Drosophila melanogaster: one gene and its partners. The gene in region 2 interacts genetically with the main gene of each other region. Each region holds a gene or a part of one and is shown on either strand. Other genes may lie near its edges. The genes, in order: Fas2, Tao and Schip1.

Region 1 (6,530 bases), about 15 Mb from region 2:
TAGTTATCAGCGTTTGTTTGTCCCAATTTTACGGCTCCAAAGTCAGGTGCCGGAATTTTAGGAGTATCTGCGATTGTAATTCCCTCATGTTAACTGAAAAATTTACGATATTTGACCAGCCACGGATATGGTCTGCTCTAAGGTAAAGTAAATATTGACTCTAGTCTCTTCTGGGAGATTGCGATAAGGTAAAAGATGATTTTAGTTTTCGTGGGATGTTATTTTCTTATATTTCCTTAGGTCTCTATTTGCTTAGCGTTCGTTTCAGGGTCGCCTATCATCAGGTACATAAGTGCAAGTGCTCAGGTAATTTGTCTGCCTAAATCTTGTGCTATCTATCATATAGGGAAACAACAACGATTTGATATGACCCTCTCGACTGATAAGCGGATTTAAGCTAAGTCAAAAGACCTCTGGTTAGCCATAATTGTGGCTTTATAATACAAACGCTTGCCGTTTGGTTACATTGGTATATTGCCAACTAAGCTAATGATATGTCAATTTTTTGGAATGATAGTTACCAGCCAGGTGGAAAATTTAGGGCATCACAAAGGTGATGATGTGACACAACTATTGAGATTAAAGGTGTTAATTCTATTTCTCCGGCTTAGTTTTTTCTTTTCAAAGGAGAAGCGGCCATAAATTTTCGACTTTAGCACAATTCGTGCGTTTGGGTTCTATTTCTAATTATAATACCAAATTGAAAAGCACATATTGGGAATTCGGGGAGCGTTTTTATACCCGTACTCACCTATTAAAGAGCAGCTGCAGAGGAGCAGCGCCAAAAAGACGCCGACTGAATTTGGCGGCAATTCACCCATTTTTATCGCTGTTTTTGCAGTTGTAGTAGTTTTCTAGTTTTCCCCGCTCGCAAATAGCTCTCGTTTTAACTTCTTTGGTTTGTTTACGGTTGCACACGAAAAAAATGTTTAAAAAATTTCAGTTTGTTTTCGCTGCTCGTGATTGCACAAATTATTCTATTCTGATTAACACTTTGCGTTCGGTGTCTTTTGTTTTTTTTTCTTTTGTCTGTTTCGGTGTGTGAATCTGAAAGTATATTGATAATGAAAGAAAGATGAATTAGCTAAGCTTTTAATAGTAATATAGATAGGGTTTTTTTTTAGTTTAAATTCATGGTAACTGGCTTTTGTGGTTAGTCAGATTGGGCCTTAGAAGTTCATCTGCATTTGATATTTGTCATAACTTTAGCATTTTAGCTTCAAATGGCAAATGTTGGCATTTATGGGCGAGGAGAAGAGGAAGAAGGCAGTGCAAGCGAGACAGCGCGAGCCGATGTTGTGTGCGTGTGTGCCTTGTCTCTTTTGCATTCTCTAAAATCGGCGGCGGCAGCGAAGAAGAAAAAAAATGAGAAAGGAAAACGAAGAAAATAAAACTTGCTGCGCCGCCGACTTCGCACATGTTGGCCAGTTTTTGTAACGGAAATTACGGTGCTCTCGGCAGTCGAAACACGTAGTGCAGGGGAAATATGGTAGGAGCAACACAGACACAAGGGGTAAGGGAGGGAAGGGGGGCTTTGGATAAGGTAGGAGAGGATTGCTTAAGCTGAATTTTATCTATAAGTTTGTGTTCTCAGTAGATCGTTATCTTTTGGGTTCGAGAGCGAAATGTATATTTCTTATCGGCACATAAGTTCGTGCGTCTCTCCAATAATTCATGACTCAAGCTTTGTCTCTCTCGCTCTCTTTCGCCTTCTCTCTCTCTCTATGTCTACTGAAGTTGCACCTATGCTGAGTGTCCTTGAATTGCAACAAGTTCTAAAGTACAGTTATCGCTCGCTTTAGAGAATATCGTAAACCAAATAAAAAACGGTTGAGTTATAGAATTGAACGTGACTTCAATGCAATGACTAATAATAAAGGTAGAATAAGTGATCAATAAAAGTTAATTTTCATTTACAGTGACGCCTTGCAAGCAGTGCTCTTTTTTTTTTTTTTTTGAAAACTCATAACAGTCCTAGCAACAAAAAATATTTGCATGCAGGCGAGGGAAAACTGTAGTTACTTCCTCGCGAGCTCGTCTTGCCACTAATCCCGCCCACTTTGCACAGCGGAACTTTCCCACCGCACCCCCTCATTTGGCTTACGGTTATTACAGTTACTGGATAATCGATATTTAGGGCAGGCCTTGACTTTTTTTTTCATAGGAACCGCGCGTATGTGTGTCTGCGGCACGCGAAATATTCTTGAGAATATTTCGCTTTCATCTCGCTTCATTCTTGCTTTTGGCAAATTGAGACATTGTTACAAAATACCCGCGAAGCAGTTTTAAATATTCATAAAGTTTCGAAAACGCTAATTATAATGAGAGACTTGGCCAGAGGGGAAGTTCTGGCAACGGTAGAGTTTTTGTGAATCTGTTCAAGTTGCACAAAGTTTAGAAGTTTTCCACTTGATATTCGTGAATTATTAATGCTGTCAAATGATTTGATTTTGACTTTCGGCGCGACCGACAAATTGTAATTACATCTGCCGTTTTGATTGCCTAGAATTGGACGAACTCAATAGGATTTTGTAGTCTTAATTAAAATATGGCTCGGTTAGGTTTGATAAAACGCAATAAACTAATTTATTAATGCGAAACTAACATCTTGTTCGAAAAACTGCCAAAAGTAAAGCGGCAAAAGTTTTCAAATAAGCACTCTATGAAGTCGATGAAGTTAATTTACCAACTTTGAGTTTATTCCGACTTGTTAACAGTTTAAACAAATATTTTTAATCACATTAAAACTTTTGCAGAAAGCCGCAGCAAACGAAATAAACTTTTTGATATGCGACATAAAGGCAATTTTGACAGACAAAGGAAAAACGAAACCGACTGAAATTGGTCGTGAAATTTGAGAATCTATTCTTTTCTATTTTTTTTTTTTTTTGTTCTGTGGTTAACATTCCAGATTAGTTGTGGAATCAATTTGCCCGGCTTTTCCTAATTCTTAACGTGTTTCTTTTTTGTATGTTTCATATTTCCTATTTGCCAGCTGCAAGCGTGAGTCAATTTCCAGTGCACACTGTTGGTAGTAACAACAATAAAGTTGGCAGCGAAGCGGGCCCAAAAACCTGTTTTCCGTTTTATTTTTCTTGCTTTTCAGGTGATGTTGCTCTTTTTTTTCATATTTGTTGTATGCACTTTTCCAACTCGATTATTGGGTGAGTTTTCAAAGGGTTTTCATGGAGGTTTTCATTGAAATAACTTTTGCACGTGACTCATTGGAATCTTGGGCTAAAACAACAAAACAGCATAGACTCAGCAGAGCGAGAGAGATACATTTGTGTATTTTTTGTCACACGCTAAAAAAAAAGTTTTGAAAAAAAAAATATGTACAAGAATGCCGCCAGTTTATTTTTGGTTTTTGTGGAGCTGTCTCGACATGTTTTTTGAGTTCTTCTCATGCACGGCCAAATAATGGCTGTTATGAGCAGTTATTATTATTATTTATTATTACCAATTTCTCATTGTTTAACTGGCACACTAACACACACGCACACGACGCGCCACGACCGTTAACACATACGGTGAAGAGAGCGCGAGAGAATGCGAGTATGAAGAAGAAGAACCACTTCTGTTGTCTCTATTTGTGTTTTTCTTTCTCTCAGCAAGCAGAGCACTCGACGCGTTGGCCGTCGAAACGTAACTGAAAGCACCGCTAGCGCTGCCGCCGCAAAATACCACAGCTATTGCCGCGCCACAAGATCTGGCAACCCCAAATGTTGCCAGCCGATGCGACGCAGCATGTTGCCAACCGAAAGTAATCAAGCAAGGGAGATGGTAGAAGTTTAAGAAGTAAAGTGCATAGATAATAGCAATTTATAAAACCGAAAATCTGAGCTCTTTTAAAATGAAATTAATTTACATAAATAACGTAATAAGTGCACAGGAATATTAATATCAGTTATTGGCCAAATATGTTTTCAGTGGAGACTAAAAGAGATGGAGAGTGTCTACCGTTAGGCGGCGAAGAATTCAGCTCTTTTCTTCTCGAGTGTCAGCAAGGTCAAACGACAATGGGCGGAGAAACTGGGCGGTGGCACTTAAGCCCCATTTCGTCACTTTTACGAGCGACTGGTGTCAGGTTTTTTGACACGTTTTTGTTGCCCAATCTTTGTGGAGCTTTGTCAACAAACTTTCAGAACGAAGCATTAAAAATGTAACTACTTTATTCGGGGGCACATTTAAAAGAGCTACACGTATGTACATATATTACGCAAAGTGTGCTATCGCGAGGAGATGATGTCTAGCTAAGGTTTTTCCGATTGATATGCAAGATGAAAATCTCACACTTCGATAAGTTTTGTAAGAATATTCGGGAACACTATCTAAACATCCTTCGAAGTTAGCAGCATGTTGCCGAAACCTCTTGCAACATTTCGAAATGAGGAAAACCAAAGTTTAACGTCTTATTTTTCGGCACAGCATTTTACGATCTTGCTGTCGAAGTAACCGACGAATGCTGGGGGGAAAATCGGGCGGGTATGCAAGACGAATTTTCCGGCTGGCAACATTTCGGATATTTCGGAGACGGCCACTTGTTGCCCGCGCAACATCGAGATTCGATTCCAAACAAAAACTTCTTTTATTTTCAATTGCCGCGCTGTCAATTAAACCAGCCTGCGGAAAAATCGTGACGAGGGGGGTGATTTTCCCCGGTTAAGTGGAAACAAAAAAAAAAATCGCAGTTACGTTTGAATGCGCTGTGTGCAATTTACTAAATGAAATTGCGTATAGATGCCAATGCGATGTATTCTGCAGTTATCATTGTTGTTTTGTTTCGTTTGTCGTTTGTGTGACGGAGCAATTTATCACCGTATACAGAGGGGATATATGTACCTACATATATCTATATACCAGCGACACCCCTCCCCCGCCAGAATCACCAATAAGTGATTTATAGGATTGTTATTTTGTCGTTGATGTCGCACTTTCGCTGCGCTTTATTTATTGCTCGGAATCTTCCTCTATCTCCCACACACAAAACAAAAACCCGATACGCCCGATTCGCCCGATTTGGAGTGCGTTAATTTTATTTCACAGCCGGCCGAATTTTCCGAACTTTTCACAGATGAATATTGAATTGATCGGCTGGCTGTGGGAACTATGGTGACAATCGTTCTTCACGCTTAATTTGCTAATGCGTTCGACCTTTGACCCATGATGTGCCAACGATGTGAACATTTTGGCTATCAACAAATAGGATTTAACACGATTGCATTTAAATGTATTGGCGATTTAAAAAGCAAGAATGTAATATAAAGAAATTAGAACATAAATATAAATAAATAAGTAATTATTTTAAGAATCTTTGGTCTTGGCACCAGTAATCTGATGTAAAAACAAAGGAAATATGCCCATTTCCCGCCGAGAACTGCAATTATTTAACAATTATGGGAACCAGTGAACAATGGCGATAGTTTATATGTTGTTCAAGCCTACTTGAAATGGTTTCGCCTGACCTGTGACCCCGAAATCCGACTATCTGCTACCTGATTTGAAGCCAGCCAGCCAGACAAATGAAGACGTCGATTTAGTTTTCGGATGGGTGGTCCTCGAATCAATCTCCAGCTATCTCGGCAATTCTGTTCCAATTTGTAGCCCGGATTGAGTTCGTTTTTTTTTTTTTTTTTTTTTTTTGTTGAACACCTGCATTTTTTGGTGGTGCATCGAGAATAGGTTCTCAAATGACGGTAACCGCAGCCCGAGATCATTAGAAAATGTTTAATAACTCTATAAGCAATTAGATACGAAGAGCTCCCCGCGCAATCCGCACCATTTCTGACAGGTTTTGTCCGCACCGAAGAACCAAAACTCAATTCCAATCTCGTTCTTGGCCAGAAACTTAAGCTGGGAATCATTAGTCCACAGGAACGACAGCCATTGAGCGGCCAAAATGATGAATTATGTTTTCAAATCGAACTCACAAAGCACAAATGTCGGGTACAGATACAAAGTGCATATCTATAGATACACTGCGGCACTTACATACAAATATGGACCAAGGGCCGGAGGTGCTAACGTCGGATGCCCAATAATTAATTGATATTTAAGCATTCGCATCATGAGTTCATTTTACCACGACTTGACGGCAGAAATCAAAGATGCACTCGGCCTGGAGAAAACAAACAAAAATTTATGGTATTATGCCTCTAACTTGGATCAGATTGATTCTTGAAGGATGTTGGCCCCAACTGAATGCCATAAATTATATTATAAGATAAAATCTTATTTACTTTATAATCACTTGTTTTACATTAAAAGAGTTTTAAGGGATCGTTTGTACTATTTTCGTAATGACACTTCTGCTGTTTTTCTAGGAGTTTATTACATTTAAGCCCTCGGTTGCCACAAATGGGTTAATGAGTATCTATTGCCATGGACATGGAACATGGAAACCCCTCAACTTTTTGGAGTGCGCCCACCGAACCCTTCTGTTATTATTATACCATTAAATGGCCCACTCTTTTCTCCAAATAACCCTAGACCCCAGGAGAACCAAAAACAAGTCGATGAGCCTCATCGCT
Region 2 (6,843 bases):
ATGATTTCCCTATCTTATGGGAAACTTATCTGTGAATTATTGATATTTTGTTAGGGTTTTAAAACATGTAGATTCGTACTCGACACAGAACAATCTAAATAGTATAGATACTTAATGAGCTTGCAGATAGTTAGTTCCCTTGTGTATATCAATCCCTTATGTTGGAGGCAGCTCTACTATATGGTATATGCTATGTGTATGTATGGTATATATATAGGTGGGTATATGGAGTTCTAGTCCCACGGTGCGTGTTGTTTAGCCTCTTAAAATGCACTCGCCGCTAAGCATTATGCATAGTTCGAGCTGCACTTACGATCTATAAACTGGCGCAAAAGTAGTGCAAAAGTAATTGTTGCCACGCACTGAACTCGTTGATAACCGCCGGCAGTCGGCGGGGTCTGCGATTACGAGATCCAGGCGGACGGTCGCAGCTAACCCGTCTAACTAGTTGACTTTGGGGGGGCACTTAATCCGCGACGCCCAGGCCCGCGTGGCACCACTCCGTTGGAGTACAGGCAGGCGACTCCAGCGCTGACCAGCGCCAGTTCTGATTGGAACGGCCTTTCGAGCGGTACACACATACTCTTTGATCCGTCAGGATGAGGATGTTACGTCTGCAGTTGATGGCCCTGCTGTTGGTGGGCCTGCTCCTGGCGCTGATCTCAGCCGATCCTGGGCCGCAGGACACGGAGGTGGCGCGAGAAAAGCGAGGCACCATCACCCTGGACTTTGGCCTGCTCCTGCGTAACCTGCTGCTCAAGAGCGCCCAGCTGTCCTCGGCTAAGGCCAATCTGGCGCGGACCACACGTCGTCCACCGACGACCACCACGACGACGCCGCCTCCGCCACCACCACCTGCTCCGATACGCATTCGTAAGCCCATCTGGCATCCGTTCTTCAGTTCCGGTTTCCTGCCCGGGGCCTTCGATGTGGACTACGCTGATCCTCCGGCACCACGACCTCCAGCGCCTGCGCCGCCCACTACACAGCCACCTAGACGCGTCCGACCGCAGGTGCGACCACGTCCACGCCCAACGACACTGGCACCGCCTCCTCCGCCGAACTATGACTACGACTATGACTATGATGCGCAGCCAGCGGCGCCAGCTGAACCTCCACCGCCTCCACCTCCTCCGCCGCCGCCCACAGCTCCGCCACGCCCAAGGCCACGGCCGCGCCCACGACCCCAGCAGCCCGATCCTCAACAGCGGCGTCCCGCCCAGCTGGGCGACCGCCTTATCTATCAGTACGCACAACCTACTGGTAAAATACGAAACCTCTTAACTAACTGCCGTACAATTGGGTTCTCTCCGACACTTTGCAGATACCTTCTTTAGGTCGCGAGCCGTGGCGGAGGCGACGGCGGCGGCTGACCCAGACAGCGGAGACTTAGTTGACTCCCAGGACCCGGACTCAGTTGCCGATCCGGATGCGGCTGCATTTCCTGTCACTGCAGATGGGCCTGACTCCCAACCTGCTTCTCCCCCACCAAGTGCTTCGCGATTTTTGGTCAACTACGAGAGCGATGACGACTTTGGGCAGCCGTTTGCTGGACAGCGGGCTCAGGATGCGGGTCAGGATGGGGGTCAGGATCAGGGTTCAGCGGGTGCTTCTGGTATTCCCGCATCATCCCAAGGCTACTTCCCGCCCCTCGAGCTTGGCAACACGAATCGCTTCCCAACTTTCAATCAGCAGCAGTACTTCTATAATTAAGCGGTAGAGTTTCTCATTTTTCCAACGTGGGCAATAAAATTAACTTCGCAGCTTGATATATTATGTGTATGTACATATGTATAGCTTATGTGTTGCAGTGTGCTTAAAATTGAACATAAACTATTTTAAATATAAGCATCCATTTTTTTGTATTCCCAGTTTGCATAGTTGTAAATAACATATCAAATAAAGTAATAATGTAAGTTCCCCGTAATTTATATTAACTAGGAGGGCGTTAAATAGCTAAGTAAATACCGTATCATGAAATTATCAGTATGTTTTCAAAAAGTGCGCCAAACTTGTTGCGATGAGTATCGGTATTTGACTTAGCGAACTGAGCTATTAAAAAGTTATTAAAAATTTGATACATATATGTGTTCTTCTAACATAGATACCCAACTGCGATTTCGTGAGCTGTAATTCTGCAGAATTCTGTATAAGTTAAATTATTGATTTTCAAACATTAAAAAAAAAAACTAATAATTCCAAAACGATAGCGTAACCACGGACATCACCACCCGGTGCACGTTCGATAGACTATCGATAGAGACCAAAAAACGAACCTTTTCTCTTAAAACTAATTGAATTGAGCGAATTCAACTATAAAAACGCCTCTGCAAGAGTTAACTTCGCAAACATATTGAAAAAAATAAGTTAATTTTAAATATATCGCCTAAAATCGGGATTTTTTAGTAAAAAGCGGTCAGTGGTAGTTTTTGGTTTCAAGCCGCTCGGCTGATCTGGTAACACTGTGTGCTGTGTGAACGTGAACTTTACGGAATTTAATTAGAGAAACGGGTGAAGAAAAGTTGCAAATAGACAATCGCTGCCAATTTTCCATGCCGTAGATGGGTGCATCTGCGACGTAACGATCCCCCGAATTCGGTGCTTGGCACTCGAGATGTGTAGCCAGTGCGGATTCGTGAACGCAACGCGTGTGCAGTGCAGGGCAATAGTTGCCATTCCCAGTAGCAGTATCACTACCACTACCAGTCCCATTCCGATTCCCGTTCCCAGTCGCAGCAGGGCCAATAACAGCAGCAGCGGTCGTAGGGAAAGCGACGTATGAAAGGGAAAAATGCATACAGATGCGAAAAGCGAGACCCAGTTGCGCCGATAAACAAGCAAGCACTAATTGATTGCCAAATGTAAGCCCTCGAACGCAGTGGAAAAAGTTCAAACGTTTTTTCTTTTTCGCCTCGCCAGATTTATGCATTTTCCACTGTCTCTCCATCCCTGTGTGCGTGTGTGCCTGTGTGTGTGAATGCGTATGCTCGTGTACGTGTGTGTATGTGCATACTGTTCTTTTTCGCGTTTGCGTTTTGGCCAATAAATGCGAATTTCTTGTGTGCCATCTGCCCATTGAATTAACAATGTGGTATTATCATTGATCCCACAAATTTCAATCAAATACAGCGCATTTGCGGGTTCTGAGTGCTACATCTGATTTCGGTGCGACGACTCCCTCAACGCGCGAGAACGGGATAGCACCAGTCGAACCATACGAATGTGTGTGTATTTGTCTGCTCCCCCGACGAGCGTGAGTGTGTGTGTGTGCAAGCAAAACAAAATTAGGCGATTCAAAACAGTTGCAAAATGCAGCGAAATAAGCCAATTTTAATCGCAACACATAGATCAACCATGGTAATCAGTCAATAAGTGGTCAGTCAACGAAGAAAACCAACAACTGGCGCAGCATCACCGCCTTCGTGCGTTCTTTTTCGGCTCCTTCGGTGTGTGCCTAGTCCGCACCCAAGGAAAAGCCAACCCAACTGAAAATCAATTCGAATCGCAGAACTCTTTGGTATTCTACTACAATTCCCTGTGACGGAGCGCCACAGCACAGTGCAAGCCACGGAAAAGGCACGAATTGAATTGAATTTGTGTCGCCCGAAATGCAAAACAACAAGCAATCCCACCGCACATATACATATAGAGCGCGCGCGTGAGTGTGTGTGAGCGACATGGCTGCTCTTTGTGCAATAGTGTGGTGGCTATGAAAAATAGGCGTGTTTCTGTTTCGCGTCGCAGGCAAAGAATTGCAGTCGCCGCACCACAGCGGACTAATTGTATTGAGAATTTTTGCCAGGCGGCGATAGGCGAAAGCCGGAGCTCCGACGGGGGCCAAAATCCGCGTCTTTAGCCGGCGGATATCCGCAGACGCCCGCAAAACGCCTCCGCATGCACAGACATGCATACTCCAATGTATGCATGTGTGTGTGTGTATTTGGATTCGCAACGGCGATAAATGCACCCCTTTGGTGCCGTTACTCCTTGGCAGCTCGCGTGTGTTTGTGTGTCAGTCGTAACGACCTTTGATTACCCTGCAGCACGTGTGCATACCCTACACCTAGCTAGTTAGTCCAGCTTGACCACAAATACCGCCCTACTGCACGTGCGCATCCACTCCACTCATTACTTGTTCGAAATCCAAGCAAATGAACTTAACGGCGTTAGTCATACCGACTGCCAAATGCCCTAGACCACTTACACCCCAGCTGTCGTAATCTGGCCAAAAAGCAGCTGACAAGTTGGTAACAAGCTGAGGAAAATAGCCTGGCCATAAAAGACGGTGCCAACAGTGAATATATTTGCGATAAGGCCGTGCTGCGTGCGGAATTCGGAGTTTTGAATGATTCGTACAGTATGTGCGAGCATGAATCACTTGATCGATTTGATGATAGTCGGCTTTTAGCTGTTCCCATCCGTCCGTCCGTTTGACCGTCTCCCCATGCAAATGCTGACCAAAGCACAGTGCCCACTGTCCACTGGCCCAGCCATTCCCGCTACGCCCCGTGCCGCCCAATTCAATTGGTCCGCAGTCTCAGCGTTTCAGCCTGAAATCCCCCAAAAATGTCGACCCTTTGAACATGACTAAGTGACTGGCGCAGGCTGTGAATGTGACTGACTAACCGGAATCGCCTTTTTTTCGCCCCACCCGATCCGCACAGAACTTCAAGACAGCAGAGTAGCCAGCTGGAGCTGCAAGCTGCGAGGAGAAGCACGCAGGTCGACCACTGAGAGAGCTGGGCTAGAGCATGAAAGACAGCCATGCCTTCGGCACGACCTGGTAGTCTCAAGGATCCGGAAATAGCCGACCTATTCAACAAGCATGACCCGGAGAAAATCTTCGAGGACCTGCGCGAAATCGGCCATGGGTCTTTCGGCGCGGTCTATTATGCGCGATGCAACCTCACCAGGGAGATCGTGGCCATCAAAAAGATGTCGTACACCGGCAAGCAGAGCCAGGAGAAGTGGCAGGATATTCTCAAAGAGATACGGTGAGCACTGGCTGACACTTGCGTTCGCCCGAGTGACTTCTAATCAATTTATGTGTACACAACAGCTTCCTTCGCCAATTGAACCACCCGAACACCATAGAATACAAGGGATGCTATTTGCGCGAATCAACCGCCTGGCTGGTGATGGAGTACTGCGTGGGCTCCGCCTCGGACATCATCGAGGTGCACAAGAAGCCGCTGCACGAGGACGAGATCGCCGCCATCTGTCTGGGCGTGCTCAGTGGGTTGAGCTATCTGCACTCGCTGGGCCGCATCCACCGTGACATCAAGGCGGGCAACATCCTGCTCACGGACAACGGCGTCGTCAAGCTGGCCGATTTCGGTAGCGCTGCCATCAAGTGTCCGGCCAACAGTTTTGTCGGCACGCCCTATTGGATGGCGCCCGAGGTGATCCTGGCCATGGACGAGGGCCAATACGACGGCAAGGTGGACGTGTGGTCGCTGGGCATCACCTGCATCGAACTGGCAGAGCGCAAGCCTCCCTACTTTAACATGAACGCCATGTCGGCGCTCTACCACATTGCGCAGAATGAGTCGCCGACTCTTCCGGTGAGTAGCAATCGAAGTTTTAATTTCTTGGTAGGAGTCTGTTTTGATAGCAAAACTGAAGTATGCCAATGTATTTATTTACGTATCGCTCTCATGTGTCCCTAGTGTTATTGTTTTATTTCCCACTTTTGGGGCTGGGGCAAGTTATATTTTACCCATTTGTATAGTAGAGCCTCCAGATTCTGCTTAAAAAAGTGTTTATGATTCAGAACTTTGTAAAGCAATTTTAAAGTAAACTAAGTAAGTGCAATTTGAATGTTATAAACAATTATCAAACCTATTCGATTTCAACCCGACAGAAGAACGACTGGTCGGATGCGTTTTGCAGCTTTGTTGAACTGTGCCTCAAGAAGATGCCAGCAGAGCGACCCTCGTCGGCCAAGCTGTTGACCCACGCCTACGTGACCCGACCGCGTTCCGACACCGTGCTGCTGGAGCTGATCGCGCGCACCAAGTCAGCGGTGCGCGAGCTGGACAACCTCAATTACCGCAAGATGAAGAAGATACTCATGGTGGACACCTGCGAGACGGAGAGCGCCGTGGGCGACACCGACGACCAACAGGACGACCATGCCGGCGGCGACAGCAGCAAGAGCAATAGTATTACTTCGGAACACTCCATACACTCGGTGGGTGTATCGGCAGCCAGTAGTCAGGTGAGCATGAGCTGTCCTTCGTTTAAAGCCACCCCACATTTCGTTTTATTTTCATTTTTGACCTTTCAGAGCTCCTCATCCAATTCCATACCGGCTGCGGCACAGAATCATCACCATATCGCTGCGCACCACCACCAGCAGGCGGCTAGCGCCGCTGTGGCGGCGGCAATGCACCACCATCACCATCCACACCAGCAGCCGCCGCCCAGCTGGCCAAGCGGCCAGCAAGGACAGCCGGTACCGCCTGGAGCCGTGTCCCGCAACTCGTCGCGCCATCGAAACCGGCCGCCGCTGCCAAACATAATGCACAGCATGAACAACAATGTGACGCCAACTAACTCGGCATCGGTGGTGCCGGCACCAGCGCCTGCTCCAGTACTCCCACCGCCTATTTCCGTGCTGCCGCATCTGAGTGCGATGGGCCACGTGGGCGGCGGGGGCACTGGGACCGGTGGCAGCGGTGGAGGGTCTCCAGCATCCGGTGGACCCCTGGCGGATCGCATCCAGCCCGTTCAGCCGCGCTATCTGACGACGCCCGCCGCCCAAGCGGCCGTGTATGCGGCCAGCTCCGCGTCCTCGCAACAGGCCATCTCCAATGCAGTCAACGATCACGGGCCCAACAA
Region 3 (6,826 bases), on a different chromosome or scaffold from region 2:
CGTGTGGCGTTCTTCTTAACCACATTGTAGTGAAACTCGGATACCAAGGGCACTTTTTGATTCGTCTCCTTGTTTACATGATTATACAGATCCTCGAAGACGTCTAATAAGAATCATGATTGGATTAACCGAAGAACTCAGAATACAAGCTATGAACTTACCAGAAAAAGCCTTCTTGGTTTCCTTGTGCAAATTGGACACTGCAATGCGAGCAGCCAGGATGGCGTAGTCGGGATGATTGCATGTTAATCCAGCTGCGATTTCTGCTGCCAAGTTGTCCAGCTCCTGGGTGGTCACGCCGCAGTACAGACCATTGATGACTTGCAGGGTGATAGTAACCTATAAAGATAAAGCATAATAACACATCAGGAAAACTTCCCAAATAATCTGCTGATAACTTATTACAAATGGTTTGTATATCTTGGGACTCCCACATGAGTTTCACCAGGGGCGCTCGCACATTCTGTTGCAGATAAAATCAAACCCCATCACATATAAATACGCATCATACTTACTAGGTTCGAGTGCAACCTGTGTGATGAGCACCTTTAAACAATAGAAACAAACTTACAGGATCAACAAAATCCATGTTCAAGTTGTAGCAAAGCTTCTGGATTCTTGAGGTTATTTTATCGAAGTGCACCTCCTCCTGCCTGCCATCTGAAATAAATATATTAAGAACAGTCATAGCGACAAGGAATTGTAACCCACCTCTCTTAATAACATATAACTTTGAGGTTTTCATGGACTTGTTCTTCAACATCTTGACTGCTATATTTCACAAGAGGCGGCAAATTGATTGTTGCAAGCACAAAAAGGCGCCAAATTAAAGTCATTATTAGTGTTACCGTGCGACATGTTGATCAAATGCCGCACTTTCAAAACGCCTAACTTTGAAACGATCAAGAAACAAAATTATTTCGAACCGTTCCACTCACATTTATATCATATTCTTAAAAAATATATCATTTTAGATAATCAAATAAATATATAAATAACTGCTTGTATCAATACACAGGTGTTTTATAAAAACAAATTTAGTTTAGTGTTAATATAAATAATTAGTTGTATTTTTTATTTATTTAGCTTTATATAATTACATAAATATAACAGTGTTTGAAGAACATTTGAGTATGTGTTTTATAAACGGTCTCGGTAGATTGTTATCAATTATACAAGAGATTATAATATTTGTAAACAAGTTGTTAATAAAATATGCAATTTCAAGTGTTTAATCTAAATGGCCGTGTCTAACTATTTTATTGACTTGCTGTCCAGATTGCTGTTGGAAAACACTAGAAAGAAATATTAACATTAATACACACAGTTAAAATAAGATAATATTTGTATACATACAAAAAGTTATTTATTTTTTCGAGATCGTGTAATATATCATCTTGGTCCGAATTCAAATCGTCTCGCTCCTTAAGGCTCTCCAGTAGTGTGACGTTTAGGTTTTCAATATATTCCTGGAGATTGTTGACCAATAGCTGGAGAGTCGGAACTTGGATTCCAGTGAGCAGCTGCCTCGAAATCCATCGATGGTTGGAGTTCATTTTGATGCCAACATCACACAGCATTGATCGAATTACGTCCACAATGGGAGTTACGCCATGTTTCCTTGCCTACAAATAGATAATTACAATTACATTTGAATAAAAAATAAATAAATCCTGTGGAAAACACACCTTTACTTTCATCTGAGCTATTTCCTTCGATTGAGCTAGTGCTATTCTAACCTCTATTTGAAGTTTTGATTGATTCGCAAAGAAAAACAAGTTTTCATCCGACGGATAATCTGTTGTACCAATGGGATTGCCATTCATATGATTCATGCTTTTATCTTGGTTGATTTGGTTCTTTTGAAAGATTTTATCGTTTTCAAATTCCTTATTGCGTTTCGTTTCACAGAATTCAGATTGCTTGCGAAGTACTCCACTTGATAGTTTTGGACACGTCTCAGAGTCGGAGCTATAACTTTCATTATCGGATCCGGTTAGAAATTCCTCCTTCTTAATGTCTAAATATAAAATATAATATTTAAGAAAATATAGTAATGAAAGAATATCTTTGGTCTTACCATTATTTAAAGAATCTTTATCTCCGATTGCCAATCTCTTGCGTATCTCATCTCGATTGAATCGCCGCTGTAATTGGAATATATATTTAATAAATGATATTATTATTCCGATTATATTGTACCTACCTTTTTCTCTATCTGTTTAACCTTTTTATAATGGTTTTGCAATGTTTCTACATCCATATCGTTTGCAATCTTGTACGCATCAAATTGTTCTATAAAAATTTAAATATTAATATACTCAAGAATCTATAACGATTAATTCATATTTGAAATTACCTAAAACCATGGTGGAGCATGGATCTTTGGAGTACTTGATGGGATCTTCCAAGTACTGAGACCAGCGCGATTGATTTGAGTACTTCCGACTAGCCACCTTGTTATTGTCCTCGTCCAGATTCTGCTGGCTTCCACTTCCACCGATTTCCAAGCTGCTCATGTTGGGTATTTCAGCCTGATTTAGGTTCGGACTATCGTTTTTGTTCTTTTCCGGAACGGACGAGTATTGGTCAGCATCACAAATGATATATTTTCGTTGGCTATACGTTTTGTAGTCGAACGTGTCCGGTGGCAATTGACGTTCGTCATGAGACGGCTTTGGATGCTTCGTTTTCACGATCTGATGTCCGTACGGTGTGTTCTTCTTTTTATTTTTTCGAGTACTATTCCCGGACAATCGCGTCGAGGATGTTTGCTTAAGAGCCTCCGTTCCATTTGATAGTTCTGCATCGCAAATCTGCAAGGTACAATTATGCTTTTACGTGCCTGATCTCTTTTATTTTAACTAACTACATACCTTATCTAAATTTGATCCCTTCAACTCATCCGCTTCCTTCTTGTTTTTATATCCAGTGAGAAGTAGCTCGAATTCACGTTCCACTTCTCCGCCAAAATCACCAACAATATCGATAGGACTTTGGCCTTGCAACTGCCCTTCGTATTTCGAATTAATTGTACATGACCAGGATGGAAACTCAGGATTGGTCGTATAATTCTGGCTTAGATTGTAGATAAGGTCAGGTTTTTGCAAAGCTCGCTTGGAGTTTTCCGACGTTGCACTATAGTTTTCATTTACAATATCCGGAATGTTTTCCGATCGGTTCACGCTTTCCTCTTCTGATATATATGTGTTTCCATTGTCGCAGTTACTTAAAATCGAATCTTGGCCATTCTTAAAGGTTTCCGAGCCCGATTCCTTGGCCATCTTACTTGGGAACGTTGGGTCATCTTCTCTATCGCTGTCGGTTAGATCGCTTTCATTGCACTCCATGTCGGAGTACTCTATGTAGTCATCGGAAAGGGTATGCGCGAACTTTTGAAATCCTGGGTAGTTGGGGTTGGTGATGCCCTTTGTTATATAGATATCCATTCTTGGCATGGGCATTGGAATAAGTTGTCTAGAAGAAATAAAAAAGTTTAGATGACTTAAATATTGATTACAACTACAGTGTATTAATAACATAACATAATTAAAACATAGTAAAAGCAATAAAATGGTTTTTTTCTTATTTCCTTTTACTTGCTAAAGGACACCACTATCTCCACTCCACTATTTTCTTTAGTTCAACTCATTATCGTATTTATAAATTACTTTAAGAGTCAATTTGGTATTTAACTTCATATGTGTTTAGATGTTACATTGTCCTTAACAACACATGAATGAACTGACATTTTGTATATTCTTAAAATCGAGAAACAAGAATCAAGCCGAAAAAAGTTGGTGTAGGTGCAAATTTTTGTAACAGAAATATCTGAAGATAGTCAAAGTTACTTGCAATTATAATTTCTTGTATTTGCTTTATTTAAACGATTGTTTCGACTGTTAACAACTAAAATGTATTCCGTTTGTTTAAAATGTTAATTATTGAATCAATGAAGACTTACAAGGACTTCGGCCTTCCTGCATTCAGATGTAAAAATTACTCCCACACATATAAAGCAAATTACACGTTTGACGCATGCGCAAATCTTGGTATATAGTGTTGTTAACAATACTAAATATTATTACAAATAATTTAATTTACTAAGGAACAAAAAATTTATTAATTATTTATTATTTTTTTATATGCAAAAACTGAGAAAACAACTTAAAAATCGAAACTGAAAATGTCTCTGAGTTTTACCATGGCACAAAATTTTCTTTTAATGTAAACTTATATTATTATTATTTAAGGAATAGGCTTAAAACTTTTTGCTATGTTTTTTTCAAAGTTCTTAAAAAATCCCAATCCCAACAATTTATGAATACCTCTGATTAAATTTTTTGCACTCAGTATTTTTCTCATTTTGAGATATGGTAACACTTAAGCACAATGTGATTTAAAAAACCATAACATTGTATATAAAAGTAATAGAAATCCAAACACAACTAGAAAAATGAAATAACCGTAGACCTAACTAATAAGTGAATAATAATGATATTATTCAAAGGAATTCGGCGGGTGCAATCCCAGCTAAGAACGCCGGTTGATTTGGTGCTCATTCGGGTGAGGTTCTTGGCCATTACGCAACAAACCACTATAACAAACTATAACTTTCCAATAATTTTCAGTACTCCACTGCAGCAACGATAGCTTCCCAAGATGACAAAGGTGTCACTACAGCGTCGCCAGTATCCCAGGCGGGAAAGGTCCAGCATTTACCCGATAGTCAAATTACCTGGATGCCTAGTCCGTACACCATGCCCGGAAAAACTCTTAGCCAGTACAAGAAGCTATCCAAGTTCCGGCTGACATGTAAGCGAGATGGTTAAACATTGGCCAAGCATCGACCATAGTTGTCTTTCGTTGCAGCGCTGGTGGTCATTACAACGATGGGCGGCTATGCCATGGCGCCAGCTGCTTTCGATCCCACAACGTTTGCGATGTGCACCCTGGGCACAGGACTCGTTTCGGCTGCGGCGAATGCCATTAATCAGTATCACGAAGTTCCTTTCGATTCGCAGATGTCGAGGACAAAGAACCGGGTGCTCGTCACGGGGCAAATGACACCACTGCATGCAGTTACCTTCGCCGCGGTGTCGGCAACTGCCGGCTTAAGTATGCTGTATTTCGGAGTAAATGGATTGACGGCGGCGCTGGGAGCGGGTAACCTGTTCCTCTACACCACGATATACACACCGATGAAGCGTATCAGCATAGTCAATACCTGGGTGGGATCGATAGTGGGCGCCATTCCTCCGCTGATGGGATGGGCTGGTTGTGCAGCCACCCTGGACGCCGGCGCCATGATCCTAGCCGGAGTGCTGTACGCGTGGCAGTTCCCGCACTTCAACGCTCTGTCGTGGAACCTCCGGCCGGATTATTCACGTGCCGGCTACCGAATGATGGCCGTTACCAATCCGGGTCTTTGTCGCCGCACTGCGCTGCGATATTCGGTGGCTATTGTCGGACTTTCAGCCATGGCACCCGTACTGGACGTCACGAACTACTGGTTTGCCTTGGAAACACTACCTCTGAACGCGTACTTCGCCTACCTTGGTAAATATACTCATTAACCATGGAATCCTATATGTTATGTCTAATACGTTCTGTTTGCTTGCAGCGTACAAGTTTCATGAAAAGTCAGATAGTGGGAGCTCGCGGAAGCTGTTCCGATTTTCACTGATACACCTGCCCGCCCTGATGCTGCTATTTCTGACCAATAAGAAGGAATGGTATTTCAGCAAACCCGCCGGTGAGGAGAACAAAAAGGAGTCCACGTACAGTGCGATAAAGCATTCTGCTAGCAGTCTTGGTAATGTCCTGCCCGTCGCCGTAGCCGAAGGACCCAGATAGAAATATTAACATTAATTTGATAAAATGTTAAGTATCGTGTGAAATTTAAATATACTTAGTGTTCTGCAACTTGTAAAAACAGTCATTTAATATTAAGGAAACACGTACCCCTGTGCGGCAAATATATGTTGCGCCTAATAAATGACACGACATCCTTGAAAAATATGCGGTGTAACCAATCCGGCGCTGAATACAAATAAATTTAAAATATACAATTTGGCATGGAATCTTAAGCCGTACAGTAATTTAAATTGCAAGATTCTAAGTATGACCTTATTATATTGTTCTTTGAGCACTTGTTTCAAAAAAAGCACGGAAACGGTAAAAATTGTTAGTGGAAGTAATCCCGTTTCCCGTTGTTTCATCGGTTGTTGAAAATAAGGAATTTAAATCTATTTTATTTTGATAAATTGTAGCAATCGAATCGAACGTATTATTTAAGGCATTGTAAGGCATCTCTTCTTCAGATTCCAGAGTTTATTCCTTTGGAGGGTTTTTTTTCCAAGATTAAAAAACGACATGCGCATTTCCTAGGGATAAGTATTCTAGCTATTTTAGGAACTATATTCCGCAATTGAAATAATTTTAATAATAATAGTAAAATCCGTCAGATAAATAGTCAAAAATTTCTAGCTAAAAATGAGTATAGCTGTACGTTATCGATAACAGAAATACCAAAAAGTTGCCCCTATTTCAGTATATTTCACTGGTTCCTCTGCTGTATGCGTTGGTCTTACAAATGAAAAGAACAATATTTTGTATTGTGTTGCAATAGCCTTGATGTTTTATCACAGAAGCACATTAGCATAATCACTGATTTATCGCGATGCCGAGATGAATCATGCAGCTAACGCGACTATCGCTGGAGCCCTCGTTTGGTAATTTGAACGGGAAACTAGATCAAATGAGCGAAAAATCTGTGGCGAACCACTGGAGTGAATTATTTTTAGTGAGCTGAACGTGGATTGTG

The links.
Region 1: of Tao (region 2) and Fas2, changing one suppresses a phenotype caused by changing the other (phenotypic suppression), as found in Drosophila melanogaster (one study listed by BioGRID).
Region 3: of Tao (region 2) and Schip1, changing one suppresses a phenotype caused by changing the other (phenotypic suppression), as found in Drosophila melanogaster (one study listed by BioGRID).

Annotation. Positions count from the first base shown.
Region 1 is NC_004354.4:4,202,440-4,208,969, forward strand, and holds the start of Fas2 (fasciclin 2), read right to left. Parts: upstream 3,655-6,530; 5' UTR 3,461-3,654; intron 1,048-3,460; 5' UTR 822-1,047; coding exon 752-821; intron 1-751.
Region 2 is NC_004354.4:19,575,416-19,582,258, reverse strand, and holds the start of Tao (Tao), read left to right. Parts: upstream 1-2,458; 5' UTR 2,459-2,861; intron 2,862-3,756; exon of another isoform or gene 3,757-4,357; intron 4,358-4,664; 5' UTR 4,665-4,764; coding exon 4,765-4,994; intron 4,995-5,059; coding exon 5,060-5,564; intron 5,565-5,863; coding exon 5,864-6,220; intron 6,221-6,289; coding exon 6,290-6,843. Other genes in the region: CG14218 (uncharacterized protein), read left to right, coding at 600-1,263, 1,325-1,713. UniProt on the Drosophila melanogaster protein: Serine/threonine-protein kinase which regulates the Hippo/SWH (Sav/Wts/Hpo) signaling pathway, a signaling pathway that plays a pivotal role in organ size control and tumor suppression by restricting proliferation and promoting apoptosis.
Region 3 is NT_033779.5:10,327,116-10,333,941, forward strand, and holds Schip1 (schwannomin interacting protein 1), read right to left. Parts: upstream 4,002-6,826; 5' UTR 3,965-4,001; intron 3,478-3,964; 5' UTR 3,465-3,477; coding exon 2,877-3,464; intron 2,817-2,876; coding exon 2,360-2,816; intron 2,296-2,359; coding exon 2,207-2,295; intron 2,148-2,206; coding exon 2,081-2,147; intron 2,021-2,080; coding exon 1,689-2,020; intron 1,626-1,688; coding exon 1,357-1,625; intron 1,296-1,356; coding exon 1,232-1,295; 3' UTR 1,085-1,231; downstream 1-1,084. Other genes in the region: RnrL (ribonucleoside diphosphate reductase large subunit), read right to left, coding at 1-103, 162-339, 572-660, 712-763; Cox10 (cytochrome c oxidase assembly factor 10), read left to right, coding at 4,495-4,566, 4,632-4,815, 4,873-5,559, 5,624-5,856. UniProt on the Drosophila melanogaster protein: Regulator of the Hippo/SWH (Sav/Wts/Hpo) signaling pathway, a signaling pathway that plays a pivotal role in organ size control and tumor suppression by restricting proliferation and promoting apoptosis.